Linked DNA regions of Mytilus edulis. The protein of the gene in region 1 purifies or fractionates together with the protein of each later gene. This does not show direct contact. Links are inferred from orthologs where the notes say so. Each region holds a gene or a part of one and is shown on either strand. Other genes may lie near its edges. The genes, in order: protein PALS1-like and transcriptional coactivator YAP1-A-like.

Region 1 (17,072 bases):
GCACATATGAAACTACCCTAATTTGCATGTTAAAAACCTCACGTGCAACTGCTCATATGAGCTTTTGTTTCACATGTGCATTTTATTAGATTGCTCATATGAGCAGTTGCTCACATGTTGCACACATGAATATTATAGTTGACCAAAACAAAATGGCTGCTTTAAAAAAGGAATATTTTTCAAATTTAAATGAAAATCTTAAATAATTCAGTTGAAAATAAAATAACTGATACATCATGTTAAAAGAGTTATTCTTTAATTATTGTCAGTTAATTATGATTTTCATATCATTTTTTTTTTTTTTATTTAAACAATAATCATGATCATGACTAAAAACATAACATTACATTATAAAACTAATACACAATAAAATTGAGTATGGAAATGGGGAATGTGCCAAAGAGACAACAACCCGACCATAGAAAAAAAACAACAGCAGAAGGTCGCCAACAGGTCTTCAATGTAGCGAGAAATTCCCGCACCCGGAGGCGTCCTTCAACTGGCCCCTAAACAAATATATACTAGTTCAGTGATAATGAACGCCATACTAATTTTCAAATTGTACACAAGAAACTAAATGTCTTTGATTAATAAGTACTGTATTTTAAAAAGTTTAAAAAGGAAAAATCTTTATACATGTAGTACTTATTTTGAAGCAACCTGTATTATATATTCCCATAAAGGACTTAAAATTGTAATATATTTCAAAATCTGACACAAAAATGAAAATAATGAAATAGAAATGATAACTTACAAATAATTAACCACAGCCACACTGGTTTTATCAGATTTCAACAATGCCTTTCTTCAAATAGCACAATATAGGACTTAACATTTTCCATATCCATCTACCTCCATTTATTGCATGCTTTTCATGTATTTGAATTTACAGGAAGTACATGACTGAGCATGTCATTTTGAAAAAGCTCATATGAGCAATGATGTAGGTTAGTTTTGAATGGTTAGAAGAATGGAAAAACTTTTCAAAGTACAAAACTAACATAAAACTAACATGGATGATAAAAGCTCACCTGAGGTTTAAATTGCACATGTGAGCATTATGTTAGATTTTTGTGGGCACATATGAACTACTAAACTGCACATATGAGCAACCTGATTTGCATACAATTCTTACTTGCATCTCATGTGCTTCACATGTGAAACTTATGTGCTTTTGTTAGCAATTTCTGTACGGGATAGGAAGATGTGGTGTGAGTGCCAATGAGACAACTCTCCATCCAAATAACAATTTAAAAAAAAGTAAACCATTATAGGTCAATGTACAGCCTGCAACACAGAGCATACATATATTTTATATATTTTAGAAAGGTATACATTTTGGGACAGATATATTGGCCTTCGTTTAACCATGTTCAACAAAGTGAATCTAATTTAACTTCCTTTAGTTCTTCATCTGAATAGTCTTGTTCTGGTAAAGTCCCTCGACCTGATGACACACTGACCTTTTGACCTAGATTAACACCGGCAAAATTTTTAAATGTTGGTATTGCACTTATTAATGGTGGTTCTGTTATTTCGATTAGTTCATCTCCATCCCATAAAGAGTCACTACTTTTAGTTGTCTCCTCATGTTTAGGTTTACGCTTCCCTTTCTTTTTAGGAGTAGTCTTTTTAGCGGTCAATACAGGGTTTGTTTTGATTTCAATTGTTTGGACCATAGTTTCTGTTGTTGAATCAGTAGTTTCATCTAGTTCAGCATCACTTGTTTCGTAATAATGACTTGGTGATGATTTCACTGAACTTGCATTATCAAATTTTTCTGACATTTCAGATTCTGTTTCACCATCTAGTAAGTTTGACTTGATAGACTTTAATAATCTATATTTGATATTATTTTCCTCTAAATTAATCTTCTGTAGTTTTGTTGGGTAGTTCTCAATCAGATACAATAGCAACTGTAACAAGAAATTAAATGAATTGTTAAGATTCCCAGATAATGAATGTATTTGATTATTAAAAATTTCAAACACAAATAATTTGATCTATATTACAAGTCAAAGTTAGATCTGCTCACAGATGCTTGATGATAAATTTCTAATTATTTTATAGTTCCATTTAAATGAGGTAGCCTAATAAAGAGCAGTTTAATTTACTGTATATGACTTATATTGTATATTTATTTGAATCCAAGGCTGAAATAATAAGAATATTATATTTCCACTTAAAAGATTTTTACAAGGTTCATGACTTTACTAAAGAATGTGAATGATTACCTAATACAAATTTGCAAAGGGTTATGCTGCTGTCAATGTAAAAGTGTAACATTGACCTGCCAGAAAGGTTCATATATTAGTAGAATAAAAATTTAACGACAAATTAAAATGACCAAATTCCAAATTTAGCTCTGGGTAATATGTTTTGTTTTGTTTGAGTATGAAGAAGCTTCTGTAAAAGTTATTTTAACATTCCATGAAGGTTTAAAAAAATGGTTGTTGAAGTTTTTAATTCTATTTTGATGAATGAGCAAAAACAAGTCCATTGTCTGTAATAATACAGAAAAATTATGAAAAAAAATAAATGATCCATATACTTTATTGTAATCATTATTATTCATAAGGAAGATTCTGTCCAAGTTTTTCAAAATTTAGTGAAAATTTAAAGTTATTGAGGACTTGAAAATTTTAAAACCAGACTTTCTAATTTTTTGGAGAAAACAACTATGATTAGTCCATTTATCAATAAAATGTGGAAAATAGAAGAAAAATAAGACATTACTTTTTTGAATTTTGCTCTTATGATGCATGCTTGTATTTGATCAAAACAAAGCTTCTCTCCAAGTTTCATTATTTTTTCATAAGTTTTGAATACATGCTTTAACATCAGATATCAGATAGTTCAGCTATAGCTAGATTAAAAGTGTTACATGAAATGGTGCTACAAGCCTCAGCAAACCTCTCAGTGATACAAGTTCTACAAACCTCAGCAAACCTATCAGTGATACAAGTTCTACAAACCTCAGCAAACCTCTCAGTGATACAAGTTCTACAAACCTCAGCAAACCTATCAGTGATACAAGTTCCTTCCAAATCAAGAACCTGGAGCTGACTATGAGATGCTAAGCCAACCAACATAGAGGATGCTGCTAAGTCACCTATCATGTTATAATCTAAATATAACTCTTGTAAACAACTACTGGCTGCCATGGAAACACTCAGTTTGATCCACCCTTGTTCTGTTATTTTTGGATTAGAACTCATTGTAAGGTCAATTAAACCTAAAATACAAAATGGACCAGTCAAGTTGTAATTGTTTCATTGAATATATGTAATAACATAAGAAAGTATTAAAAAAAAATACATGTATTTTGCAGATTGCTATTACAGAATGAGACAGTAACCCAATAACAAAAGTAGACTAGTATATCTTGCTGATTGGTGAGAACCAAGATTCCGTGTTGAAGGCAATACTTTGACCTCTCTAATTGTTAACTTTTTATATTGTGACTTGGATGGAGAGTTTTCTCATTAGCACTAATACCACATCTTTTTATTTATAGTACAAACATGTATGTGTAAAGCCAATTTCTCTTAAAATAAGTAAGTATCATGGACAAAACATACCAGACTTTTTTCCATGAGGAGGTAAAAGGTTACAAATGGTCTCTATAGAATCATCACTAAGGTCACAATCACCAACATCCAATGAAACAATGGTTGGGTGATGAAGCAGTGTTTTGGCTAATTTCTTCATTCCTGCATCTCCAATACTGTTTCCATGAATACTAAATGGAAACATGAAAAATTGATAAGGTTAATCAACTTCCAATAAATCAATTTATTTACATGTACATTTGTATTTTATAATCCATAATTATACAGATGAGATATTTATTATGTTCCTTCCATTATCGTTTTGGTCTATTTAGTTATTTCCCCCAAAATAAGATACTATAAACTATTATGCAAGGAATTGTATGTTCATGTATATAGGTGGTCAGTATGAATATTTTGGTAAAATATTCAGCAACCAAAGAGTTTGTATATCTTCTTTTGATTAAAATATTTTAAGTATTTTAATGTGTTTGTAAAACCTGGATCAAATCACTTTTGAATGACCTGAAATCAGGTACATGCCCATTGATTTTAAATTGATTACATTACAATTACATTACAATTACAATGAATTTTAAATGTAATATATTTAATTAGTAATTAATTTTGTTACAATTAAAATTGTGAAAGGAAATGGGGAATGTGTCAAAGCGACAACAACCCGACCATAAAGCAGACAACAGCCAAAGGCCACCAATGGGTCTTCAATATAGCGAGAAACTCCCGTACCCGTAGGCGTCCTTCAGCAGGCCCCTTGAAAAATATGTATACTAGTACAGTGATAATGGACGTCATACTAAACTCCGAATTATACACAAGAAACTAAAATTAAAAATCATACAAGACTAACAAAAGCCAGAGGCTCCTGACTTGGGACAGGCGCAAAATTGCAGCGGGGTTAAACATGTTTATGAGATCTCAACCCCCCCCCCCCCTATACCTCTAGCCTATGTAGAAAAGTAAACACATAACAATATGCACATTAAAATTCAGTTCAAGAGAAGTCCGAGTCCCGATGTCAGAAGATGAAACAAAAGAAAATAAATAAAATGACAATAATACATAAATAACAACAGACTTACTACTAGCAGTTAACTGACATGCCAGCTCCAGACCTCAATTAAACTGATTGAAAGATTATGTCTTCATCATATGAATATCAGGCACAATCCCTCCCGTTAGGGGTTTAGTATCATACTATCATAAAATATATGAGAAGAACATAACCGTGTCATTCCAACAACTGTTTTTTAAATAAATGTGTTTAGTTCTGATGCAAAGACCCTATAAGTGAATCAATATTAAAGCCAAAATATGCAATCATTGATGACCTGACAACAGTATCGTAACTATATCCCTTCTTAATAAGTCTGTTTAAAGGTTTTGTAAGCTTTTGAGGTGAATACTGACATTTTTGTGCTTTGTAATTACCATAAAAGATTGGATGTGAAATACCTGAAGGTATAAGATGTCTGCATGTCAATTACATTGAATTTAAATGTAATTAATTTCATTACAATGACATTGAACTTTACTTGTAACAATATATAATTTTAGAATTTCATTGTCTTAAGAATGAATCACTGTTCAATTTCTTCTGTGCTAAGAACAGATTTAAGGACTCCTGAATATATGTTAGTATAGCATAAATTTAAGCATGTTAAGCAAGAGTGAAAGCAGACCCTACATTATTTCAGATAATTTTCTTCCCTTATTTTGCTATTTTAATTTATAATTTTCTTGGGTTTTTTTTCTATCAACAACCCCCCATTATTATAATATATTAAAGTTATATAAAAATATCAGCATGAAAACGTTAAATAATGAAAACAATATAATGTGAAGGCATATACATTAATATAGGTCGAGTAAGAAACTGTGATAGATAAATAATTAATTAATTTCTTACAATAATGCATGTAGTGATCGATTGGCTTTAATGGTTCTACATAACAAGTCGATTCGACGTTGATCTGTTATAATTCCAATACACAGGCATAGCTGCAACAAAGATTCTGAAGATTCAACCAGCTTCAAAATGTTTTTTAGCTTTGCAAATGTCAGTTTACAGTCTCGAATTGATAAAATTTTCACCTCATCATTTTGAATATCTTCACATGCATCTTGTAAATGTTCATCGTTTAAAGTTTGTTCTGTTAAGAGAATTGTATTTGACATAGTTTTTACAATCAGTCTCAGATATTACTTGTTATACGTCCACAATACGCACAATAAACATATGAAGTAATTAGGTAGTAATTGTTTTGACAGGTGCCCGTTCATCTGTGTCGGCCCATCTGTGTCACTCAGGTAAACAAAAGAGATTCGCAGAGTTGACTTTCTAACAATCTGATTGGTAGTAATCATAAAACTGGTTCGACATGACCACTGATACAGTCGAGGCGGTGGATATGAAATACACCAAGACAACACTGGTTCACTGTGAAGTCCAATTTCACATTTAAGTAAATAGTTCGTAAGATATGTTGAATGTTACCAGGTATAAGGGTTTGATCATTAAATTATTGTATAAAGGAGAACTTGACAACCTTTTTAAAAATAATTAAATAGACATTTCTTCCATTAAAAAAAATAAATACAGTCATAAAATGATAAAGAGTTTTAAGAGGTTGAACCCAAAGCTTCAGATAGTATTTGAGTTTTTATGGCAAAAAAAACACAATACAAAGTCCAATTTATTTGTCTATTTTATTGTTCAAAATCCTGTTTAACAAAAGGGGGAACCTTTGTGTTCTCAACTTTACTGCTAAGTGCACAAAATATAATTAGGAGAAAGAGCATAGACTGTCAATGGTCAACTTTGGGACTCAGAAAACTGTGTGTCGGACTCCTGGTATGGTGACATGTCTTCCTTCAGACTTACACCTTTACAGTGGCAGATCCAGAACTTTTTGTAAAAAGGGGGGACTGACCTATGGGGGCCTGCTTCAGTCATGCTTCAATGATTCCCAACATAATCAATCAAATTTTTCCTACCAAAGGGGTGGGGGGGGCATGCCCCCCTGGATCTGCCTATGCTTTATTGTGAACTATAGGTACCTTTAAAATTCTGCTCAGTCTATCAATCATGAATAAAACAGGGTTTATTTATTTTCCTATTATAAACTATTAACACCTTTGCATCCTGAAATTCATTTAATTTGCCACTGGACATAAAAATGCTATCAATCATCATATTATTATTTTGACAAGTTTCCTTGAGGTTTTTAGTGATGTGTATTTTTAACTTAAAGGGAAACTTCGCAAAAAAATCAAAAATTGATATTATGTTTATTCTGTATAAAAATGCTCAAATTCATAGGTATTAAAGTTTTATTCTGCTAGATAAGAGATCACCATCGATTTTAAATTTAGAGTATCAATTCTCTACGGTCGGCCATTTTGTCACCTTGTCCGATTTGCAGTCGCGATATGTCTAAGGACCAGAACTACAGTAACCCGATGTAGTCGTAATTGCGTGTCGATATCTCGTCAATCGTACGGTTGTTTTATCCGACTAGTTAACTTGATACGGAAAATTTTCTTTTTTTTTTTAATATTGGTATACAATATCTGTTATTTTAAGACTGATAATATAGGAATTAGTGAAAAAGTCAAAATTTCAAATCATAAATAAGTCTTCCGTGAAACTTGAATTGTTTTCGGCAATCTAATTAGTTCATAATTCTTTTATGTAATAAACTTTATTCAAATAAATTAGGATCTTCGCTCCACTGATCACCCGCATGGCTAAAGGTATTACTCCCAAAGGTATTGTAGGGGGTGTGAGGTGACACGTCCAGGTATTCAAGCGATTTCCTGTCGAGTTTGCAAATTCATGCATCGTTTCACTTCTTAGTGTATTGATAAGTGTACACGGCCGATAACTTATAACTTTCCATTTTGAACTATTAGGTGTATAATATACATCTCTATCTTGCGTGTCCGAAAGTGATATAATATATAGTCATTACTAAACATATACGCTTGTTTATGAATAACATTTCTGGTTAAAAGAAAATTATTTATAAAAATATAAATAATACCAAAAAAAACAACAGATCTGATGAAATAAAAAAAAAATCCAAGAGTAAATTTGGTAAAATGTAATATATACTGATAACTCGTTGTCAATGGTGAAGGACAGATTGGAACATACCAGAAATATATTGATTTAAAAAAAGGTACGCACTTGTCGACCATTCGTATATACGCCTGGATTATAAGTTACGGAACTATAGCGTAAATTAAAATATATACATTTATACATAGAACATAAGAAAGAATAATATATTTTGCGTAAATTGGGGTAAAAGTTTTGTAAAATGAAAAGTCCACGTATGCCAACAGTAAGTAATCATCAAATGTCGATAGATTATTGTATACCAAACGAAGAAGGAGAAGAAGAAGAGATTTAAACACAGGTCGATATATAACTTTATTTGGCTCATCGAAGTTATGGACATTTATAATTCAATTAGATTGTTCTCGAAAAAAGGAAGAAATTCGTCTTCGTCACAATTGTTCCAAAATGCATGTAATATATACGCCACTGGAAGTACACTTATACCGAGGGATGTGAATATTTTCCGGGAAAACTATAGAGTATCAAAGTTTCAAATCAATTTCGGGATTTATTTTCTCTCTAGATATTCAATGACAGCAATTTAAAGAAACTGCTTGTCCGCTTTAGTGGTATTCTTGCCAGTTGAAACAGACTTATAATTACATTAAAAAATAGGGAAGGATGACATTAAATTCGTTGTCTTTTTTTATACATCGTTGGTCAAATAGCTAAAGTATTATATATAGTTACGGTGTGAGACGAAGAGTATTTTAAGGACATATTCCCGATTATGTATAAATTTTGTTGATGTTTTTCACACTTGAAAAGCATATCTGTTCGTAATTTGTCGATTCCATTCCAATTAGATCCTTTAATTTCCTGTAAATTTTTTTAAACATTTTTCTTTTTAAATATCTGAAGTCTTCATGTGTTGTCAGATTTAAAATATTTTGATGAGCACATTAATTTCTAAATAGGTAATTAAAGATCACTTTGGATGGACTAAAATATATAATTGCAATTGTTAATGATCTGTTTGAAATATTTAAGGCTGCCGATCCTTATTTGAAATAGTACAATTTTTAGTTCATAAACTCGTGTTTAGAATGCTATTTTTATTTATAAATTCTTCAATTAAAATAATTCAGTGTTTTATCGTTACTAAAGTAATCAAAAGTCATAATTCATTAAAAAGTGATCTTATGCAAAATATAAAAATATACAACAGCTATCCAGTTATTGTGCGATCTTATTATTCCCGTTAATTAATTTTAATTTTTTTTTTTACATTCATGTGTCTGAAATTTTGTCGGAGTCCCGTTTACAATTATGTTGTTCACACCTGAATGCCAGTGAACCGTGACGCATAGATTTCACTGAATGAGGATCAAAGGATTAGAATTACATAATGCTAATCTTTTAATTACCTTGAGTTAACCTACGCATTCAACATTCTTTAGGTGTCACAAAACAATACACATTTTATTTCCACCTTACAAGCAAGTGAAAATGTTTGCTGTAATGAAGCAAAAACGTCAGAATACAAACATGTATTTTTAATACACTATTGATCATGTCAATTTCATATGTTTGTTTAAAGTATTTGTACAAAACAAATCATAAAAATGTTCTATGTATGAATTAATTTTATTATTAAAATTCGTTTTAAAATATCCACACGATCTAATTTTAAAAGTTGCATGGCTATCACTTATTTTTCGTTGGTTAATAGCTACACCAAAAGTCGTCGATGCGCTTTAAATCGCGTAATTAGATTGTTTACGAACAAGACTTAAATGAGATATTTTCACTCCCGGCATGCATCAAAGACTTAAACTACGTCACATAAGTCAGGAAGCTTCAAGAAATAAAATTAATAATTCCCAATTTTCTTCTTTATTAGATTTCATATCAAAATAAAACTTGGTGAATATGTTTTTTATGGTATTATGAACATAATAAGATGATAAGTGAAAAATCGCGAATTATCCCTTTAATATGAGAAGTAAGATACCTATATTTGGTATATGGTTTTGAAGTCATCATCCTTTGCAACATTTATATGTCTGTCAGACAGAGTTCACCTGACAATGACCCAATTTTATGGATCAGAGATTGAGACTAAAGTGATGTGATTAGGTCTGCATCTGACCTTGGCCTCATTTTCATGGTTCATTGGTAAATTTTTGTTTTTGTGTTTTGATCTATTTTTCAAGTACTATATCATGTATATATACATGCAATAGATTGACTGACCTTATTGTATGGAATGATAGTAAGGTGTACATGTCTGTCCATTAAGTATCATCTGACCTTGACTTCATTTTCAGGGTTCACTGTTTAGCGTTAAGTTTTTGTGTTTGAGACTGTTTTTCAATTACCAAAAGCAAAAGGTTAACTATATTTAGTGAATGAAATAATTGTAAGGTGTACTCGTCTGTCTGACAGGATTTAATAGACCTTGAACTCATTGCCATGAATCTATAAAAATGATAAGTGTATGTGATACTTGTAGTAAAACCTTTATCTTTAAAACTTTCAACATAAAATCAATGGTCAGTAACGCAGGTGAGACATTTCAGCATGTGCACATGTGAGAGTAAGTTAAAGCAGTATTGAACATGCTAAAATAACAGAAAGTACATCATACCATTTCTATAGAATATAGAATGGAAACCGGGAATGTGTCAGAGAGACAATAATCTGACCAAAGAGCAGAAACCAATCCATGGCCACCACTGCAAGAGATGGAGAGTTATCTCATTGGCACTCATACCACATCTCCTTAGATTTACAAGCAGGCTAATAGTAAATTCTTGGTAGATTGTAGAATAATGTAGATATCTGTAATATTGAATTGTACAATGTTATAAAAACTAAAAAGACCATTGTTTCTGTTATGTAGCTTAGTAGAAATGAGTTAATAAGATGGAATCATCATCAGATGACACAACAGAAACCAAGAGTAGCAATGATAATAGCACATTATCTGTTATAGAAGTTATAGATGAGACATTACATCTGGGTGAAAATGACAAAAGATATGGGTTCTCTATCATGGGAGGAGTGGATGAAGGGTTTTGCCCCAGGATTGAGGATATTGCTGAAGGCAAGTACATCTGTGTTGCTCAAGTATATGGACTAGAAACTTAAACTTGATTTAAAAGTATGAGATACTACTCAAAATATATTAATATATATGTTAACTTATTAAGCTATTGGTGTTAAAAATTAAATAAAAATTGTGGTATAGAACAAAATTTTTGTTTACAAAAAAAATATTTCAGGAAACATTGTTTTTCCCCTGTCCCCTCCCCACACACAAGCACCATACAGTTGAAAGGGGAAATAATCCCTCCCTCCATAACAGTCCCAATGCTGAAAAAGGGGGAGTGCAATTGTCCCTGGCTCCTACATTACTGTTGTTCAAGATAGCTACTTTAGCAGATATTTTACCACTTTTCATCGCCTCATTCCCTCATAAGTTATCACTTGCTCTTTCATAAATTTTGGATATGCCATGCACATGAAAATTTTTATTAGTAATCCGTAAAGCTGTGAAATTTTACAAAAAAAACAAAACAAATTTCAATATTAGCCATTATCATGATTATGATGTGCCAATGATAATCAATTAAAAATTCACACTAAACATTTTATTCATTTAGATAATAATTGGTCTACACTTGATTGGTGTTTCTAATTTGAAAAGCCAGCAAAATCATTCAGCTATAATATCTATACAGTATTATTAAAACAAACACATCTATGGAACTACTAGTATATACAGTTCATTGAGTCTAAGACTTTTCTATACTTAAGGTGATTTAGATTATATCTATAGTATAGACACTTGTCTGCTGTTGCAGACCATATGTTGACCTCTAAATGTATTTTGGTCTTCTGTCTATATAGGTTGCTGCCTTATTGACATTTACCCCACACTTTATGACATTTATTTTTAATAAATCACAAAGATAAGGAAATATGTAATAGGATTGCCAACGAAACAACTATCATTCAAAGACAAAAAAATGGAAAAAAGTAAATAACTATTAGTGTTATTTTGTTAAAGCATTTCAGGAAAGTATCGAAGATATTTCATTGATATGGGCCGATTTATGAACCAACAAGTTAAACTTTTGTTGATGTCATTCACATGATAAATCAGAAGGTTATGGCGTCCAAATTTTACTGGTACTGCATAAAAATGAAAGATTGTAGCGATAAAATATCAATGTTATATCATCAACGATTATTCCAAAATAGGACCTAAATCCAGTCAAACTAAGTCGTCAATATTTAAATTTGAAATGTACGATAGTGACTTATGTTTAATAAAACATTCTCATTTGCTTGGTCCACCCTTAATGATTACCAATACATATATAAGTTAAGCCAGTGCTCATTTCAAGCATGAAAACTACTGATTGAATTATTTTGAAACATTTTTATGCCCCACCTACAATAGTAGAGGGGCATTATGTTTTCTGGTCTGTGGCTCCGTTGGTCCGTCCGTCCGTCCGTCTGTGGTTCCGTTCGTCCGTCCAGGTTAAAGTTTTCATCACTTGGCGTCCGGCGGCGTCCGGCGTCCGTCGTCGTTAACTTTTACAAAAATCTTCTCCTCTGAAACTGCTGGGCCAAATTTAACCAAACATGGCCAAAATCATTATTAGGGTATCTAGTTTTAAAATTGTGTCCGGTGACCCGCCCAACCAACCAAGATGGCTGCCATGGCTAAAAATAGAACATAGGGGTAAAATGCAGTTTTTGGCTTATAACTCAAAAACCAAAGCATTTAGAGCAAATCTAACATGGGGTAAAATTGTTTATCAGGTCAAGATCTATCTGCCCTGAAATTTTGAGATGAATCGGACAACCCGTTGATAGGTTGCTGCCCCTGAATTGGTAATTTTAAGGAAATTTTGCTGTTTTTGGTTATTATCTTGAATATTATTATAGATAGAGATAAACTGTAAACAGCAAAAATGTTAAGCAAAGTAAGATCTACAAATAAGTCAACATGACCAAAATGGTCTGTTGACCCCTTTAGGAGTTATTGCCCTTTATAGTCAATTTTTAACCATTTTTCGTAAATCTTAGTTATCTTTTACAAAAATCTTCTCCTCTGAAACTACTGGACCAAATTAAACCAAACTTGGCCACAATCTTCATTCAGGTAATTAGTTTAAAAATTGTGTTCGGTGACCCTCCCAACCGACAAAGATGGCCGCCATGGCTAAAAATAGAACATAGGGTTAAAATGCAGTTTTTGGCTTATCACTCAAAAACCAAAGCATTTAGAGCAAATCTGACGTGTGGTAAAATTGTTTATCAGGTCAAGATCTATCCGCCCTGAAATTTTGAGATGAATCGGACAACCCGTTGATAGGTTGCTGCCCCTGAATTGGTAATTTTAAGGAAATTTTGCTGTTTTTGGTTATTATCTTGAATATTATTATAGATAGAGATAAACTGTAAACAGCAAAAATGTTCAGCAAAGTTAGATCTACAAATAAGTCAAATGACCAAAATGGTCTGTTGACCCCTTTAGGAGTTATTGCCCTTTATAGTCAATTTTTAACCATTTTTCGTAAATCTTAGTTATCTTTTACAAAAATCTTCTCCTCTGAAACTGCTGGGCAAAATTAAACCAAACTTGGCCACAATCATCATTCGGGTATCTTGTTTAAAAATTGTGTTCGGTGACCTGGCCAACCAACCAAGATGGCCGCCATGACTAAAAATAGAACTTAGGGGTAAAATGCAGTTTTTGGCTTATCACTCAAAAACCAAAGCATTTAGAGCAAATCTGACATGTGGTAAAATTGTTTATCAGGTCTAGATCTATCTGCAACAACAAAAGAGAGTTTTTCACGACCTCAGCTGGCTATACAACCCTTGCACAATCAACTGAATTTTGCAGAAATCATTAATAGGATAGATTGCCCTTATATGATAATTTTTTATTACCTTTTTGGTTTTTTTGGCAAAGGGGGAGCGGGGGGGGTTGCGCAACAACAAAACAACTTCACAACTTTCTCATTACTTTGCATTTCTCGTTAGATAAATTTTACAAAATTCTCCCCTGAAACAACTGTCAAATTTAAACAAACTTGGTTTAAATCACCACTAGGATATCCAGGGACCACTGTGTATGATGACCCTGCCTGCCCACATGGCTGAAATAAAACATAGGTTTCAAACGCACTTTTTAGTATTATATCTCTGAAACTAAACGACAGTACAACAGTTGCATTTATCATGCATCAATTGTAAATAAAAATATCAGGTGAGCGACACAGGGTCCTTGGACCCTCTAGTTTTTACAAAATACCAATTGACAAAATTGTTTTATCTGCTTGGAAAAATACATTTGGTAAAACATGTAAATCAATTAAACGACAAACGACTTGCATTGATGGCAACAGTTTAAGAAGTTCTATTACATGTAAATGATTAATATTTAATTCTTTATATCTACTTGTATTATGATTTATTACTGTCCGGAATGCTTATATGAAATGAATATTCCCCATGAAAGTTGTTTGTTTTGCAGACTACATATATTTGAATTATGATTGAACTGATTTTCCTCAAATATTACACCTGATCAGCTTTTTCATTACAATAGTGTGATTGACAATTATGTATTCTTTACCAACAAAATCTTTTGCTTATTACAACTCTGGGGTTGTATGTATTTATATAACATATTTAAATGGTCTTATAACTAGACAGAATTTTATGCTTTTGATCTATGTAAGATCCATCATGATATAGGAAAACAATTAAAGAAACAACTATGTATCATTTATACTAAAAAGAAAAAAAAAATATTTTGCAACTATAAATGTTTATTTTGGAAATACATGTAGATATAATTTTGTTTATTTATGTAATACAGTGTTCACACTATAAAAATTAACCAGGTTTGGGATTTTCCCTGTCAGAAAAAATAGAAATGTAAGCACCAAAATTGTAACCTTCATCCTTCCACTATATATATATTTACATATTTTTTTTCTTCACAGATGCATTATATTAAAGTCTGAATTATTTTTTGCTGCACTATTGGCCACTTTGGGGAGTTCGATCACCATCAAAAACCATCAACCACTTTCCGTATTTTCGAATAATGTCACATTATCCAAATTGAACCCATTTTCGCCCAAAAAGGCAATAGAGATGATATAGGTTTCATCGTTCATCAACATGCAGGTTTTTTAACAAAGATTTATACAATTATATATCCCTCTTTATATTATTCGTAACCTAGTAAATACAGGAACTAGACGTCTGTCAAAATATGAGGTCATTTGATATATGATGTCACAGACAAAGGCGTATTTATGTAAACGTCACTATAGGAACAACCTCATATTAACTTCACTTTGCATTCACATCAAGAAGTGAGGAAGTTAACTTGAGTTTGCCCCACATTAACCCCACCTTAGATGAGGGGTAATTTTGATCCGTGTTCGCCCCGGTTTAAGGCGTTCACACTACCTAAATTTAACCTGGATTGATTAATTCAGGTCGACCCGGTTTAAAAGGGCATAGTGTGAACGGGGTATTAGATATTTTCATCAAATAATGTATCAAGTCACTATCAACCACTGTAATTCAATGTGCACTGAACATTGCTGTTTACCCTTGTGCACTCATTGTGTTAGTGGATGCGAGTGATTAATATTAAAAAAACATGACAGTTATATAGTTCAGTGGTTCATATTATTGCTGTGATGTAACTAATATATCATTTTGATCCCTGTTACATAATTGCTTGGCTGATAAGAGTGGGACATTTGGAGACAGCTAACAGCATTATTCTGTGTGTTCTTTGATAATGTCTAGAGGATTTAATAATGGTTCATAAATTCTAATGTTTAAATTTATTCTATACTTGAATATGATATTCCTTTTAGTGCAGCAATTTTCATATTATGCATTTGTTTAGAATCAGGAACTATTTTATCACTATTGTCTTTCAAGTTTTGCTGTAGAAATCTTTACTAATATCGGCCATACAATATTCAATATAATTGGCCTTTCACTTGCTTATTATCTTAATTGATAGCGATGTTACAGGTTTTCTGCAGTTGCTATTCTTCTTGAAATAATTACTTTGGTTATTTTATTTTCTGGTTAGACAAGACATTCTGCCAATACTATTTTATATAAGAAATGTGTGATCATTTCTTCCAGATGGATAGAACATAACTAAATCTGACCTTTGAAAAGTTATTTTTGTAACAGCTACCAAGTAGATACTCTACTCTATCCATTCCATTTCATTAACTCAATGACATAAATATGTGATTTGTTTGTTGATTTTGCTTTAAAATCCATTTGAAAGATTTCAGGCCTATTCATGATGAGAACAAACAAACAAATGTCCTTGGTATTTCTTACATCAACTGAATAAGTTTTAGTTTTTGTCAATCACTTAAAATCATTTATATCACTAAGAGCTGTGGAATTTACATAGAATAATCCTTGTTGTGTAAAACAATTTCATTTCTAACACTGCTTAGTCAACTTCTTCAGGTTGCTCGTCTTTGATGTAACTTTTTGAAATATGCAGGCACATGTTAGTCAGTTTGTCAGCATGCAGAAACTAGAAATTTGGCTCTTTTGAAGCTTTTATCTAGGCTTTTGTATATATATACAAGTCTTAATTGAAAACAACTTTCTAACCTACATGTATGATTGCATTGGATATATATATATATACTTTTATTAAAATTCATGCCAAAGTTTATAGCGATAGGTATTACTCAACTGAGCTTGCTGTGTCTATGCTTGGTTGCTTGAATTTATTTACATATGATACCAAATTAATTCACAAAAAAAGAAATGTCATTGTTGCTTCAATTTATAAAGGTAACCCCTATTATAAAATAAAATGTCTTATATGTGCTGTAGATTTCTGACACACTTTGATTTTATAAGGCATATGTTTCATTTATATAAAAAAAAAAAAAAACAATAGTTCTCTTAAATTTTTTTTTACCATAGAATTTTATCTACCAACATCCATTTCTCTCTGTCAGTTTATCCGTGTCATATGTAGCTACAGTACTACAAAGTCTTAATCATTTGTGATACTATGGATTCATTAATTGCAACATTAAATTCTAATTTGTGTGGATATGGTTGAGTTCTTAGTTACTCAATAGAATTACAGATTTTCAATTGCACTTACTAGAACCATGAAACTTTATAGTACAATAAAATGGCTAATTAGTTTTGAATCATGATGATCATACAATGAAAATTTATAGTTTGAGATAATCATTTGATCAATTCAATTAGGAATGTTTATTGTTACTGTTATGGGGTGTATATTTTATTCAATAAGTTGAAAACCTCACAGTAAAGTTCCAAGTCTGGTTTTAATTTTTTCGTTTTCTGGTTTATGCCAAGACTGT
Region 2 (17,307 bases), about 5.0 Mb from region 1:
CTCATTGTAAAACAACCCCCATGTTGAACACATTTATAGTTGAATGACAAGACTTCCTTTTCTTTACAACAGTACATAAGGTCAGTAGATGGCATAGATCAAAGATAAAATTGTACTACTTAATCCCCCCATAAATCACATGAGGATTAAAGATCAATAGGGGAGATCACAACAAATATCACCCAGGCCTCCAGGACAGACAAAACATATGCACCTAGACAACACCTCACATCAAACGAAAACATCATTTTAACCACAATCATGTTCTTGATATCTGCTTTCATTGGGAAGATTTTTACAATAGGAAATCGGTGAACTTGCCATGATTAAAATTAGATGATTATAAAAACAGTTTGTGCAGTATGATATTTCAGTCAAGTAACTTTCCAAACTTCCTCCCAAAATAACCTTACATGTGCTAGTAACCTAATTAAACAACTATACAAAAATAAATGCCATCACTGCCCAAAATTAAAATAAACAAACATTGCCTCCCTAATATGATTAGATCTGAGGTTAACTACATTGTATCAATTTAAAAGTTTTCTTTGACATTAACCCCACCTTTGTTTACACTGCACTTATAGGATTGTATTAAAGTAAATATACAAATAAATGTAAACATTAAATGTGTATCAACTCATATTGAAATTATGATAAAGCATTTAACATCTATATAGGTCTTTGTTTTGTTTCTTCCCACTTGTTTGTTCTAAGAAGAAATGTACACATCATATAGTATAATCATTGCACTACAAGTACATATATGTAGTTAATTTAATTCTAAAAGATTGTACATATACATTGTTTGTACTTTGTGCACCATCATTTTTTTTCAACAAATGTTTGATTTAAACATAGACACAAGTACACCTGTTAAACTTTGCCAACCATGCATGTAATTACATTAATTAACTGAATTTCAACACTGTTTCATTCAATATAGTAGTGTGCTCATTGTTGAAGGAAGAACAGTGACCTACATAGATGGTTACATTTTTACTTCCTCCTGCACATCATTTGGATTCTGATGGATATGCTATGCTTCTCCAGTTAAAACTTCATGTGTGACTATCCAATTGATGCCAGGTGGCAACTTGTCAACTTTAGTATTGTTTTAATAGTTATTCCTTTTCTGTTTCAAATGTAATTCCTTTTCTGTTTTTGTTTTTGTTACGATCCACTCCCGTTCTCCCCACCCTTGGCATTTGTGATATCAATGTTGCGCCATCTATCTGAAGATTAAAGTCACGCCCATTCCAAATACTTTATTCTTGACCAATGGTAACACTTGAACTCTTCAGTTTGGAGGTAAACACACGGTAGAGTCTAGATTCTACACACTTAGTAAAGCCGGAAACGAAAAATATATGTCAACATTCATGCATTTTTGCATGAAACATACACAGGAACTTCTATTAGTTGATTAAAAACATTCAAGTTGTCACTAAATATAGTCGTATGTTTAGTGATGTAAAGACTTGTTGCACAATAAACATGTGGCAATTGTTTACAAACACTTTCTACATCTACACATGATCATGTTATTGGCGCTTTTTGATTGGATGGAGCGAGTTTCTACTGCAACCACTAAAAATCCTTACCTTATGTCTCAAAAATGTTATCTCAATCCGCCAAGGGTGAAGAGAACGGGAGTGGATCGTAACCCTTGGCTAGCGAAGATGGGTTAGTGGAAACACAAGTATTATTTTTTGGGGCCTTATTATGCTGTGTTTATTTTCTAACATTCAATGCAATTAACAGTCCTTTACATTTAAAGAAGTGAAGGTTTAAAAAAGAACAATGTAAACTACAGTACTACCTGTGACTTTATCTTATTAATGGTGGCCATAAAAAATATGTTCACCATGGTGGCCCTATATGTTCATCATCATACCCCCTGTTGCTTTTTTAATACACAAGGTATTAATCAAAAACTAGTCAAGGATAAAGGGAAATCTTGAATGCATTGAAGTGTTAAAATTATATAACTTACAGGTCAGGTGTCTCAGGTAAAATATACATGTATGTGTTTGTCAAATTTAATAACTGTGATTATGACAAGAAATTCAAAAATAAAATGAAACAATAAAACTAGTTGAACAAATCAGCTTAATTAAAAAATAATTGTCTCCTGACTATTAGTTTTGATATTATACCTTTTAAATAATTTTTGATCAATTTAAGTTATTTTTTATATTAAGTCTATTTTTTGGTAGTGAAGAATAAATGAATCTCATTTTCAAATATACTGCAATTTACAATGCCTGCCTTTTTCTATTGACTAGGTAATTCTCAAATTAATTTTCTAAAATCAAAATGGTTTATTATTGTAGATAGACTGATCTTAACATATGTTTAAGATTGTCTTTAGGACTTACGCTAAATAAAATTTAGGCAATTCATTATTTCTTTATTGAATAAAATATTTATAAGTATTAGAAATATTCAGGACAGCAAAATTTGATAATATTTTTATTGTCATATGATATTTTAAACATGATCCATGTTTTAGAGGTTAAGCATTTCTTTTACTTTTTGTTCTTGGGTTAGAGACATTTTAATGAGAAGGTAAATAATTTTCGAATAGATTTATATCTCAAAGTTGTTTTGTTAATTTTACAATCAAGGAATGGGTGTTCTTCATTGACCTACAAGAGGCACAGTTTACACATTCTATCCTTTCTAGGAATTTTATATTGTCCACTATTTTCTATTTCTAAATTATGATCAAAAATTCTCTACCTTAATTGACACAATCAAGTTAACTTTACAGTTTTTATCATAAGTTATTATTTTTAGATTTTTCTTTAAATTCATTTTTTATTAAGGACTTTAAAAGTCTTAATTCATTCAAGTCCCTGCAATTATTAACTTTATCTAAAAGGCCTAGGTTGATTGAAATATTCTTTGTAAATGTATACCAAGAATATGTATCATGCCAGTCCAGCACTATCGACAATATAATACACTGAAAAAAAATGATTTAATTAATAGACCATTAAAGTGTCACCATCTTTAGAAGTGCACTTTATTTTTTTCTGGAGAGCCTGACAAATTTTGAAAGAAATTAACCAAACTGAAGATAACATATTTAATAAGTTTCAAGACAATTTCTTTAAATAATTTCTTTTCATAAGATTCACTTGATTCAGATATATATAAGAACATTTTTCATTATGATTAGCATTTTTAATGAACATTTATCAAAATTTTATGATAACTAGGTGGACATTTGGAAAATAAGTCTTTTCGGTGATTGTTTGTGCACAACTCTTGTTTTGAGATTTGAAGAAAATTTAAATAAACAAAATTAGTTTTTTCCTAAACCATATAATGGTACTTGTAGTTTTCCTGAATAATATTAGATGTTATCAAAATCTATTGTTAAAGGATTGATATTGAATCATCTTATTTTGTTAAGAAACCAAATTGTTTAATTACTTTCATTTTTTTTATTTAAAATATCACTTGCATGATTATTAGTTATTATTAATAGTAATAACTCATTTAATAATGTTAACAAACAATTGAATACAATGTACATCATGTACATTTATATAAACCTTTTATTTAAAAAACAATTATTAAAAGTCTGTTTATCATGTTTATTTCAAATGCTAGTCAATAACTTTGGCTTTGACTTTTTGCCATTTCGACTCAAGATTCTTACTAAGAAGAAATTAAAAGAATAAGAAACAAAACAAAAAACAATTAAAAAATAAAAAATTTAAATAACATTAAAGACAACCAGGTGCTCCGCAGGGCGCAGCTTTATACGACCGCAGAGGTCGAACCCTGAACAGTTGGGGCAAGTATGGACAAAACATTCAAGCATGATACAGCTCTGAATTTGGATTGTGATCAAATTTTTGACATTACATGGTTTTTTTTTACACAAAACAAATGCCAAGATTTTACAAATCAATTAAAGATTTCTTCTTCAAACTTTTTAAATCTAAAATTAAATAGTTGACACAGCATAGGTTTCTGACACAGAATGAATGTGGTCTAATGAACTTAAAAGGTTTTTTTTTGCCTTTGAGCAATTCACTATGCTGTTGAATATTAATCCTCTCAAAAAAATGTTTGAAGAAATTTTCTTTTTATTTATGAAATCTGAAATGAGAAAAATTTAACCCCCCCCCCCCCCTTTTTTTTCACATCCCCGTTTCCCTTTTTCAAAACTGATATCAATTCAAATTTCTAATGGAGTTTGCAACAATAACTACTCATTCAAATACATCATAAAATATTAAGATGTAAAAAAACTGCTTGTTATCACTGAATGGTAAAGATTATTTAAATTTATCAGTTGGTAGTAAAAAGTGTATATACATTGTATATTGTATATAACAAAGATTTAAGTTGATTCTGGACAAAGAAAGATAACTCCAATTAAAAAAAATTCTTGCTATTGCAATATTGTGCAATAGGATATTTCTTGCTTACTATTCTGGACAAAGAAAGATAACTCTAATTAATTTTTTTTTTGCTATTTCACAATATTGTGCAATTAGATATTTCTTGCCATTGCACAATACTGTGCAATTGAAAAGACTTGCTATTGCACAATACTTAATATAATAATTTTAGATCCTGATTTGGACCAACTTGAAAACTGGGCCCAGAATCAAAAATCTAAGTACATGTTTAGATTCAGCATATCAAAGAGGCCCAAGAATTCAATTTTTGTTAAAATCAAACTTAGTTTAATTTTGGACCCTTTGGACTTTAATGTAGAATTTGAAATTTGAAAACAGGACCAAAAATGAAGAATCTACATACACAGTTAGATTTGGCATATCAAAGAACCCCAAGGATTCAATTTTTGAATTTAATTTTGGACCCTTTGGACCTTAATGTAGACCAATTTGAAAACTGGACCAAAAAACTTCAATAATCAAGAATCTAAGTACATTTTTAGATTCAACATATCAAAAAACCCAACCGATTCATTTTTTGTCAAAATCAAACTAAGTTTAATTTTGGACCCTTTGGACCTTAATGTAGACCAATTTGAAAACGGGACCAAAAGTTGAGAATCTACATATACAGTTAGATTCGGCATATCAAAGAACCCCAATTATTCAATTTTGATGAAATCAAACAAAGTTTAATTTTGGACCCTTTGGGCCCCTTTTTCCTAAACTGTTGGGACCAAAACTCCCAAAATCAATACCAACCTTCCTTTTATGGTCATAAGCCTTGTGTTTAAATTTCATAGATTTGTATTTACTTATACTAACGTTATGGTGCGAAAACCAAGAAAAATGCTTATTTGGGTCCCTTTTTTGCCCCTAATTCCTAAACTGTTGGGTCCTAAACTCCCAAAATCAATTAAGTCATAAACATTGTGTTTAAATTTCATTGATTTCTATTTACTTAAACTAATGTTATTGTGCAAAAACCAAGAATAATGCTTATTTGGGCCCTTTTTTGGCCCCTTATTCCTAAACTGTTGAGACCAAAACTCCCAAAATCAATCCCAACCGTTCTTTTGTGGTCATAAACCTTGTGTCAAAATTTCATAGATTTCTATTAACTTAAACTAAAGTTATAGTGCGAAAACCAAGAAAATGCTTATTTGGGCCCTTTTTGGCCCCTAATTCCTAAAATGTTGGGACCAAAACTCCCAAAATCAATACCAACCTTCCTTTTGTGGTCATAAACCTTGTGTTAAAATTTCATAGATTTCCATTCACTTTTACTAAAGTTATAGTGCGAAAACTAAAAGTATTCGGACGCCGGACGACGACGACGACGACGACGACGACGCTGACGCCAACGTGATAGCAATATACGACGAAAATTTTTTCAAAATTTGCGGTCGTATAAAAAATAATAATAAATTAACAGAGTAAAACAATACTTTATTCTACAATTTCAAAAAAAGGTGAAATGTCAATTTTAAAAGAAACCCAAGTTACCTGTACAGGTAAATTTTAATGAAACATACCAGCTGAAAACTTCAACCCTGATTGATTTTAACAGGTAACATAATTAGATAAAAAATCTGCCCATGATTTATGACCCCCAATAAATGGCCAACATCTCAAGATTGAATACCCCAATAAATGTTCACCATTGGATGTTGACCATGCAAGAGGGTGGACATAACTAAGAGGAAGTCACAGGCTGTACTGTATCTATGCACAAAATTGCAAATGTCAATGTATATGAAAACAGCAGGACATGAATGAATCCATTTGGTTTTTGATCAGTCGATTGATTACTGCAGATCCAATAACAATCAATTACATCATTTGATGGGCACAAACTCTTTAAAAAAATTTAAAACTGATATTAAAACACTAATCAAGACATGATTAGAATGACTTTAATTTCTCAATTGAAATGTTCAATCAATGTACATTGTACATATCATACCATGCTATTTGTATTTATACAATAGAAGCTGTAAAAAATTCATTGAAAAAGTTACTTATATGTTTAAAATTTTATAGTGGTTCTGTATATTTTAAGAAAGGTGGCACTGGGTAATATCTAACCAACATAAGTGTAAGATGCAATTGCCTAGTATTGTTCATGCATGTACATGTAGGTTACTGGTAAAGACAAAATTTAAAGTGCAACAAACCCACTTTTCCCACACTTCTAAATAATAAGACTTTTAAAAGTACAAAAATATATATATATATACATGTACAAGGAACTTCATGTCAATTGTATAATGTATCATTGTCTGCAGTTTTGTTTTTTTTTTCATATTCAGGTGAACATGCATACATGTATATGTACATCATGATCTGGATGAATATTGATTGATATAATGCATATGGTGAAAAACACCCCTTTCAGCACTAACGGATATTTTGTGGTGGTCGGTTCATTATTAGTGGAGTAAGCCTGAGAGCCTAGACAGAATCACTGACATTCGACCAAAAAAAAAAGATTCAATTTGATCAAAAATGGAGTCATGCACACCTGCCATGTGTAGGATTCAAACTCACAACATCAGTGTTGACAGGCACTGGCTAGTTAGACAGTAGAAGGGAACACTTACACTACAGTCAAAGCTGTTTAGCCTTAGACTATTTGGCCAATGAAGTCCCTATCTTGAGCAATAGCAGTTTTTCTTACTGCATGCTGAAGCATGAAATTAGTGACAAGGCAGCCGCACTCTTAATTCCACAATCCAAATCCTAAGGCCTGGTACCAGTGATACAACTTATCTATTAGTTGCAGTTACATGTACATGTACATTGTACATATCATGTAGTCTGTGGTTCTAAAGAATATACATTGTAGATGAGATACAGGAGAATTAAATTGCCAGTCTAGATCTTGTGTATGAAATTTGAACTACATTGATATGAAAGTTGATCTTCAATATTTTTTTTTATTTTGTTATTTGTTGTTAGCAGAGCTTATCATGCTTATTACTTTCACAAATTACTAGGATTCTGGATTATCCTCGTACTATGCGTTTTGGTGCCATTACATGTAGGAATGCATTATGACATCACAATTTCTATTGAAAAAGCATCTGTAGTACAAAATCATATATGACCTATATGTACATGCATGAAAATATACGATCTGACCATACATGTACATTTGTAATATAACATTATAATCTGTTTAGCAAATGGCAGGCAATTTTCGTATTTTCTAATTTTATTTTCTGTAAAAGTATTTGAATAAAAATGTACATGATGTAAATGAATATTGTTTGAATCCTTTAAATTGCCATAAAATCATTTTGCATCTGGGGAGGCTTTATATGGTAATTAATTTAAGAAGGTCCTTCTGATTATAATACTACATGTATAACTGGCAGAGTCTGTGTGTCAGTTTTATGGAACCACAATTTAAATAGATAGCGGAAAAGTATTGACTATTTTTTTTTTTTTTTTTTGGCAAATTGGAAATTTAAAAAGCTAGATTCCAATGAACTGATAAAAATTATTTCTGTTATAATGAAAATTTTGTGACCTAATTTAATTTAATTTTCAATCACTGACCTTTCTGATTGGGTCATGTCTAGCAATTAATACTGTTTCTGGACACTTGCGGAATTAATACAAATGTAAAATAGTTTTTTCTGGACATTTCAAAGAGGAAATAAATGCAGAATAAGTCCATGGTCCGACATAGATGATGTCCAGCTTCCATATAACATTATAAAGGGGCATAACTCGAGAACAGTAAAAGTGTTGAATCAACACCAATTACTGCCTCCTCCATGACCTGGCCATAATAATAATAATGCAATTTTGCAGGCAATATTGACAATTAGCTATATAGCTACCCATTTACAGAGAGGAACTAGTTTGTTTACATTTGAAGTCGTGAAATTTATATATAAAAAAAAACACAACAAATAATTTGTAAGTGCATAAGAAACACAATAACATATAAATATATATTCTCTGTAATTTTCTTTTGCCCTTTCTGTTTTATTCCTTTCTTGAGCCTCAGCTCTTTTAATCTGGTTACACCTGAAAAAGTAATCTACTTACCCATTTCTAAATTTGCAAACAAAAACAGAAATTAGTAAAAACATATTCACTGACTGTATAGTAGAACACTAATGACTTTTATGAATAATGCATACATATGTACATGTAGTTTTATAATTTTACTCACTTTATATAGTAAAGTTGTCCGTCTGGAGTTCTTGCCTTTTCCCAACCTTGAGGCAGAGGGGGTTCGTTGTCTAACATTGAGTCACATGAATGTTGCCTTGCATGTTGATGCTGTGGAGGATTTTGTGGAATAGTGGATAATGGCTGCAAACTTGCAGGTGATGAATGCGCCCTGGTATGCACTGGAGGTGCAATTATATTAGGTCCATAACCTGTTGAATCGTTACTACCTTGTTTTGAATGACCCGATTGTTGAGAGTTTGGTGGTGTAAAAAAAGAAGCTGGGAAATTACGCATTTTCATAGGCACTTGTCCAGTTTGGCCCGAGCGGGCCGGGTTCATGGCAGCATTAAATAATTCATCGAGTTCGTTCCCACTGTTGTCCCGGACGTGTATCACCTGATTACCTTTACGCTGCGATAAATCCGACTGTTGGGACATTTTGACGAAATTTATGAAAATCACAACACTAAAAACCGAAAATTATCCTACTCAGCTAAGACAAAAACATTTCTAGAGTAAGCGAAACTAGTTACATATCCTTGAAGATTTCCTGAGAACTTTTCTTCTTGTCGGACACCATTGAAGTTTTACGAAAATTAACCCTATGACTGGTCACAACCAGGTTTAACAGGTTCCCCTCATCCGCGGGACGAAATAGTGCATTATAAACTATGGGTTATTTTAATCAATCTTAAGTTGATGATGAATATTCAATACTTGGTTTGTTGATAATGGTTAAAAAGGGATATTTTTTTAGTTTTTTTCCTTATTGACATTCTAAATCTTAAGTTGTACGACAACACTACCGATGTGAATTGCGTATGTTTTAGCACCTTGTGACGTCATAGGAAATTATGTCAATGGTGACAAACTACATAGTATACTTTGTAAACAATTTTTGACATAGTGATATAAAAGTATTACATGTAAAGATGAAATATAATTTTTTTATTTGTATGTAAATAATTATGACATTAACCCTTTTTCAAATAATAATCGATGCTTAGATTCCCCTTGATAGGCCCATTAATCCTTATAAGGGGCTTGTTTTATTGTGAATATGTCAATCAATCAATGGCCGAGTTTTGATAAGTAGTTCAGTTGAATTTTACTGCGTGGGTGGGGACTTCAAATGGTGAATCATTCTTTAAAATTACTACTTTTACTACTTTTTTACAATAACTTTAACACAGAAAGGCGTTAGACATATATTATTCATAGCTGACAGAAAATCTGAAATATTCTTTTTTTTTTATTCTTATCAGCATCTTTATCCAAATTTGTTATATCTGAGTCATATTCAAGTTTTTTAAAGAAAAACGCAGAACGCTGAAAAAGTAACAACAAGTCGACCCTCTTTCAAAAGATTAAACATTAACACCGAGTAGAAAATTGGAAATAACACTAGAAAATCAAACAAAAGTAATTTAAAACGGCCGGAAAATTGCCAACTATATTTGAGTAAATCAATCCAGGCACACTTGAGTTTGAACGCTGTATGATCCTGTATGTGCAAAATTTACTTAATTTCAAATGGACCAAGTCCAGTAACTTTTAGAACGTCGGAAAACCATGAAATAGAAAAAAAAATCGAAAGGGATCTTCATTTTATCAATCCAAACAATAATATAAAGTTTATGAGAAGCCTTTAATACCCCAACTACTTTTCAGGAAATAAATCTAGGCAATCAATCCAGGCATAGAGTTTGTTTGCTTCAATTCAGATGGTTCAAGTCCCGTATCTTTGGAAAGGCAAATCCTGGAATAAAATAAAATACATCGAAAGGGAGCTTCAAATCTAAGCAATAGTGTAAAGTTTATGAGGAATAAACTCAAGCATACTGCGCAATATGTTAACAATGGCTGTTAAAGTACCGTAACTCTGGGAATCATAGCCATTTTTTTTTTAAATTAATAGGGGGTTTTCTTCCGTCTATCTAGTATCATAGTTATAGCAAATTTGGGTTATTGTGAAATGTAGACGGACGTAACAGACGGACAAATGAGAGTTAATTAATTGGGTAGGGACACACATATTGCCTTTCAACAGGCCACCTAACCCAACAAAGAGTTGCTACGAGGATTCTTAACGTTCATATCTAGCGTATTGCCACTATCTCTACAAGAGGCATCGGATTTAATGTCCCATATTACCGGACGTGCAGTGGGACGTGACTGCGTATATTTATACATTATATACAGCCAAACGAACCCCCAACTTTAGCAAAGGTTTTTACTACCGATTGAAAGAAGACCAAGCTAGTGAACAGTTTGTTGAAAACCAATAACAACTAATAAATAAAATGTATTGTCAGGTTATGGATCATGTTGAGGTTCATTAGTATTTGTTAAAAAAAAAAGTGAAATTATCTAAAGTTAGTTTTTAGTGTCTATTTAAGCTGGAATATAATATACATTACATTCTATCCTATAACCCAGAGTCTAATGTAATACTTGACATTTAATTAATTTTAAAAAGTTTTGACAACTTCATTTTTTAATAAATAAATGTTTGTGAAAAAAATTGTCACGGTAGGCACGTGCCTTAAGTGTCCAGCGGCATTCAGCTGTGTTCCTGGAACTTCACACATATAAATGACTAGCAATATTTTCAGTTCAGTTCAGTTTCATGCATTTGCCTGCCATGATGATAGCACACTACCTTAGGGTATCATGTTGAAGACCAGTTTGAAAAAGAAAATACCCGCTCTGTCTAAAATTTATAATGTCTATGTAAAACTGGAGTTACATTTTAAGTATGCATTGCACACATATAAAACCGTTCATTATTACGAAAAGATACACTGTACTTCGAAGGAAATTAAGTAAATAACTTGAAGATGGTGTTACTAAATTTTAGTGGATACTGCTTTACAATCATAAAATTATTGAATCGAGCATTTGTTTGGAACATCAGTTATTTTTTATATGTTGGTGCATTTTTACAGAGTAGTGAAATCACCCTTATAGCTATCAACAAACCGTAGGGGAAATTACCCACCTTTGACTTGATAAAACAACACAGGAGATCAGGTTTACAAGGTCTTTCAAACTCAATCACTGAATTGCCGGATAGTTCACTTGAATAATCTCACAACCACCAATTCCGGAAACTCTTTAAAAGTGGGCACTTAACCGAAAGTGCTACTTGAAGTACTTTAAGTGTTTACAAACAATAGTTTTATTCATTTTATGTCTCACACGTACCGTTTTGTATTGCTCTTGTTTACAAAGCCTCCTATAGAATAAAATAAATCGTGACAATAGAATTTGTCCGATTTTTCAATTAACTCATTCATCGGGAATTTTCCAGCATAAATGACAAAATACAGACATCAACCAACAGCACAAGCCATCACAGTTATGTGACGGTATGATGAACGTAGACACCCAACAATATCATCCACTCGTTTTATTTGGCCCATTTGTGAATAAATCGAAATAGGATGACGGAAAATCTGAAAAAAAATCATTGTAACTATACTATATATGATGATTTTTCCTAGACACTAACTAGAAAGTTGGTTGGTAGCGAGCAGATCATGTGCATATCTAAACCAAATTGAGACCATTTTGAATCCAGAATACTGGATTGAATATAGGCTTAACGCAATACGTTCCAAACAACATCGCAGATGCGATTAATGTTCTCGAGATTAATGTAGTTGAAGTTGTTACAGTTTTTGTTTTTCATCGTAGTAAAAAGGTAAGCATCTGACGACGCCTGCAAATTCTGCTTTGCTGATGTCGTTGTCATTCAAAACCATACTGAATACAGCCTAAAGTGATTATTTGATTGATTACTAGGCCTCAAGTTAACACCACTGTCAGCACTATTGGCTATTTCGTGGCGGACAGTTTTTATTGACGAAAGAAGCCAGATTGGCAGGAGAGAACCTACGACCTTCAGCAGGAGAGAACATACGACCTTTGGCAGGAAAACTAACAGTCCTAGTAAATTCAGATTGGAATCTGTCACGTGCGGGGTTCGGACTGACAACCTCAGTGTTGACAAGTTAGTTATACAGCCTATATATATATATGAGCATACCTAAAAATGGAACGTTCTCAACTGCTGGGACATAAAATAAACCCCCGACTATTGTAGAATCGTCTGCCATTTTGCAGGTATAGATCGTTCTAATGTCTACCTGGGATAAGATACAGACTGACCCCTGTTACCTCAAGCCATCACGCAACACACATTGTCTTCACACCAAACACGATAGGAAAACCTGCCAATATGATTAATAAACCACATTCCTTTTGAATATTTTGTTTCAGCTGTCTTACACTTATTCCTTATGATATACCTCATATTTCATTCTTCAATATTTTGCCAATTTTTATATCTGTTGCTTGGTGAGTAACATCTTGTGTTTCCCAATCAAATTGACATGCGACTAATGTGTGCTGGTCGTACTACCGTTTTGGTCGCTTGTTGTAACTTGTTGAACTGACCTTGCATCAGGCTCTGTACAATTGTTGGTTGTCCTTTCATGCATGTATTTTGTGTTCGAGTCCTAGTACTGGCACCTAGCACTCGTTGAAGTCTACTTGATAGTTCTTGCTAAAACTAGTTCTATCAATGGTGATCTTGATGGCGTGTTTGTTGAGTCGCAATTGTCTCTGAAACTCGTCGTTGATGTCTCTGATACTTTAAAAATAACGCAATGACAAACCAAGTACTAGTAATACAATATCGTTAGACAAATGAAAGGTTGAATCCCCTGCATTATTAGTCGAGAAGAGTACTAAATATCGGCCATCTTCACTAGAGCTATTTCGAAACTCTGTCTATCTTTCGGATAACGGATTGGATTTAAACGAGTTTCTATTAGTTTTGAGAAATAGTATTAGTCATTGACGTCACTTTTTGCGTTTAGGCTTTGACTTACTCGAGTGTGTATTTTTTTGTGTTAGATTATGTTGGTTTGTGTAATGTATCCGGTTTTTTTCTGTAATTAGTTAATACTTTAGTTATTTCATGTATATCTAATATATAGTAATTTTATAAAATTTACTGTTTGCAAAAGTATAAATTATTCTAAATAATAAGGATGTTTTTATCACAAGCAGAAAATCCTAGCCGTATTGGGGACAACTTTTTAGAACTTTTGGTTCTCAGTGCTGTTTAGCTTTGTACTTGTTTTGGCTTTCAAACTTTTGTATCTGGGTGTCACAAGTTAGTTTTGTCTGGACGAAACGCACTTCTGGCGTATTAAAATTTAAACCTGTTGCCTTTTGTTAGCTATTATTCGTGTGTTTCTTTGTCCAATATGTTCTCCTATTTATTTGCATTGTAGTCCTGTAATGTTATGTTGTCATTTTAATATTATATTTAACATTGCCATTAAAGCGGGAGGTTTGGCATGCCACAAAACCAGGTTCAACCCACCATTTTTTTTCTTTTAAAAAATGTCCTGTACCAAGTCAGGAATATGGCCATTATTATATTATAGTTCGTTTCTGTGTGTGTTACATTTTAACGTTGTGTTTCTGTTGTGTCGTTTGTTTCCTCTTATATTTGAGTGCGAATTCACATTACTATAAGACGTGTCACGGTACTTTTCTATCCCAAATTAATGAATTTAGTTTTGGATGTTAAATTTGTTATTCTCATCGGATTTTGTCCGATGCGTAGTTCGTTTCTGTGTGTGTTACATTTTATTGTTGTGTCGTTGTTCTCCTTTTATATTTAATGCGTTTCCCTCAGTTTTAGTTTGTAACCCGGATTTGTTTTTTTCTAACGATTTATGAGTTTCGAACAGCGGTATACTACTGTTGCCTTTTATCCTTTTGACACGACGAAAGATAATCCATACTTAGGAGCTGTATTTTCGTTGATTCTTTGTAACAGATTGTTATCCATTCCATAATCATGGAACATCTTTTGAATACTAAAACTCAAATGACGAATTCTAACAGAGATTACCAGCACAAAGGCTTCTGTGTTTGCCGAAACATTGTGCTCGAACTCCTCTACCCTAGTAGGAATGCACACAACATACTCGTTCACCTAGCATCTGATAGCGTTTGAGAAAACACTTCTTACTCTTTGATAGCGGTTACATGATAAAGCACCATAGCGTTTTATCGCGTTTGAGACTGCCCTAGCGTTTTGACAGCAATTGAAAAACACCCATGGGTTTATATTATGGCTTTTGCATGCAGTTTACTACAACAATGGTCATCATTCGGCTGACGCTGAATTCATCTGGTCGTCTTTTAAATACATTCTAAATTTGAATGAGTTCTACGGACTGCGTTTAAGTGTCGGAAGCATTAATTTCGGTTATGTCAACATGGGTCGGTGTACTGGTTACCTTTGTTCGTCTTTGATCTACTTTTTTTCAGGTTTCATCTGACCCAAATGACTTGCCCCGTATTCATCATCATCAATTCAGGCAAAGCAGTTGCTTGTCTATTTTTCGACGCGTTCCCACTCGTGTCTTCACTTACACCTGCAATCGCTCGTACCACGTGTGTTTATCTTCAAAAAATCTCGAGCAATGTAAACGAAGCAAACATCATCTCAGTTTTCAAGCTTTTCCTTAAATAGTTATCAAAGGTACCAGGATTATAACTTAGTACGCCAGACGCGCGTTTCGTCTACATAAGACTCACCAGTGACGCTCATATCAAAATATTTATAAAGCCAAACAAGCAAAAAGTTGAAGAGCATTGAGGATCCAAAATTCCAAAAAGTTGTGCCAAATACGGCCAAGGAAATCTATACCTGGGATAAGAAAATCCTTAGTTTTTCGAAAAATTCAAAGTTTTGTAAACAGGAAATTTATAAAAATGACTACATTATTGATATTCATGTCAACACCGGAGTGTTGACTACTGGGCTGTTGATACCCTCGGGGACGATACGTCCACCAGCAGTGGCATCGACCCAGAGTTTTAAATAGTTATCAAAGGTACCAGGATTATAATTAAGTACGCCAGACGCGCGTTTCGTCTACATAAGACTCATCAGTGACGCTCATATCAAAATATTTATAAAGCCAAACAAGTAAAAAGTTGAAGAGCATTGAGGATCCAAAGTTCCAAAAAGTTGTGCCAAATAAAACTTCATAGTCTTTTTTCTGCACTCTCTAGAAGTGTTCCAGAGAACACCTCTCACACTTTTTTCCAACGCAGTAAGCTATTTGCAAGAGTCGGTAGATTGGTTGATGAAGATATTTCCCAAAGACCTACACACGACCGTCACGAATAAATTTTTTGGCATATTTCTGTCATTGTTCATCTTACCACCGTTGGTATAGCCCACTTTGTTGAGCAATTATTTCACAAGGATGTTCACTATCTATAATAATGAAATGAATTGATCTAAATTGATACAGCTAATTTACTTTTTGAAAGTTGATTCTACCATATAATCAGTTGTTTGTGCTCGCTTAGATTTTTCCTCAGTAACTTTACTGAGGAAAAACTTTACTGTCACAAACGTATCATTTGTGATCATTTGTGACACAAAATAGTCATTTGTGACACAAAATTGTCATTTGTGACACAAAATTGTCATTTGTGACACAAAATTGACTTTTTCTTCACAAAATTGACTTTTGTCTTCACAAAACTGACTTTTGTCTTCACAGAGTAGAAATTTAGCTTCACAAAAAAGAAATTTACCTTCACAAAAAAGAAATTTTGCTTCACAAAATAGAAATTTAGCTTCACAAGATTGAATTTTATCTTTACCATTTTGAATTTTTCTTCACGAGATTGAATTTTGTCTTCAAACTTTTGTGTTTTAATTTCCATAATAGGGAAAAAAAGTAGATTTTTGTCTACAAAAATGAATTTTGTCTACAAAAATGAATTTTGTCTACAAAAATGAATTTTGTCTACAAAATGAATTTTGTTTACAAAAATGAATTCTGTCTACAAAAATGAATTCTGTCTACAAAAATGAATTCTGTCTACAAAAATGAATTCTGTCTACATAAATGAATTTTGTCAAAATGCGGTTGTTCAGCGTCGGTATTAGTTTTAGCACCTTGTTAATCTCCACATTCTCAGGCACAATCGGATAATCATATTTTTTTTTCCTGCTGGTACTCGAAATCGCATTCGGTTTTTGAACCGGATTTTTTTCTCGCTTAATCGATTGATAACTGTTGAATAGCGTTATACTATCGTTGCCTTTATTTATCAACCATGTATTCATACTCGTGAGCATCGAAGCTGATAAGCATGTCTTCGATGATCTTCACTGGTACCATGCACTTAAATGGTTTTTTTTTTATATTAAAGTTGTGCGATGACTCATTTTTAATGTGTTTTTTTTTCGTGTTCGGAAAACAGTTCCAAATCGAACCCTTTGATTTTGAGCTATGAGTCGAGTCGTTGGCTAATACTGGTGGTATGTAGTGTACAACATAGAATCTTGCTTGTAGTCCTCCATGAACATAGTCTCGAAGTATGCTAAATTGTCTTTAAATAGCATCACATCAGTTAGAGTTTTAGTTGTGAATATCAAGCATGATCTTATACTTGGATGTGACAATTTATGTATGAGTGTAGTCTTCACCATAAATGCCCTCACCGTTAAGACCATACAATTCTTGTTTGGTTGATTATTCATTTTCTTTCAATCTCTTCTGACTTTATGCGTAATCATAGTGGTACTCTCACGTACGCGCCAACAAATTGTAGCGTGTCAATGTCTTAAACTGAACCT

Evidence for each region.
Region 2: the proteins of protein PALS1-like (region 1) and transcriptional coactivator YAP1-A-like purify together in Homo sapiens (affinity purification with mass spectrometry; 6 studies listed by BioGRID and IntAct, counting the BioPlex papers as one, with this or other methods). This does not show direct contact. The link is inferred for Mytilus edulis from reciprocal best matches to the Homo sapiens genes PALS1 and YAP1.

The regions. Positions count from the first base shown.
Region 1 is NC_092346.1:57,551,415-57,568,486, forward strand, and holds the start of protein PALS1-like, read left to right. Parts: upstream 1-10,543; 5' UTR 10,544-10,566; coding exon 10,567-10,747; intron 10,748-17,072. Other genes in the region: leucine-rich repeat-containing protein 73-like, read right to left, coding at 1,374-1,916, 3,012-3,235, 3,582-3,742, 5,482-5,750. UniProt on the Homo sapiens protein: Plays a role in tight junction biogenesis and in the establishment of cell polarity in epithelial cells.
Region 2 is NC_092346.1:52,552,135-52,569,441, forward strand, and holds the start of transcriptional coactivator YAP1-A-like, read right to left. Parts: upstream 9,576-17,307; 5' UTR 9,054-9,575; coding exon 8,614-9,053; intron 1-8,613. UniProt on the Homo sapiens protein: Transcriptional regulator with dual roles as a coactivator and corepressor. Critical downstream regulatory target in the Hippo signaling pathway, crucial for organ size control and tumor suppression by restricting proliferation and promoting apoptosis.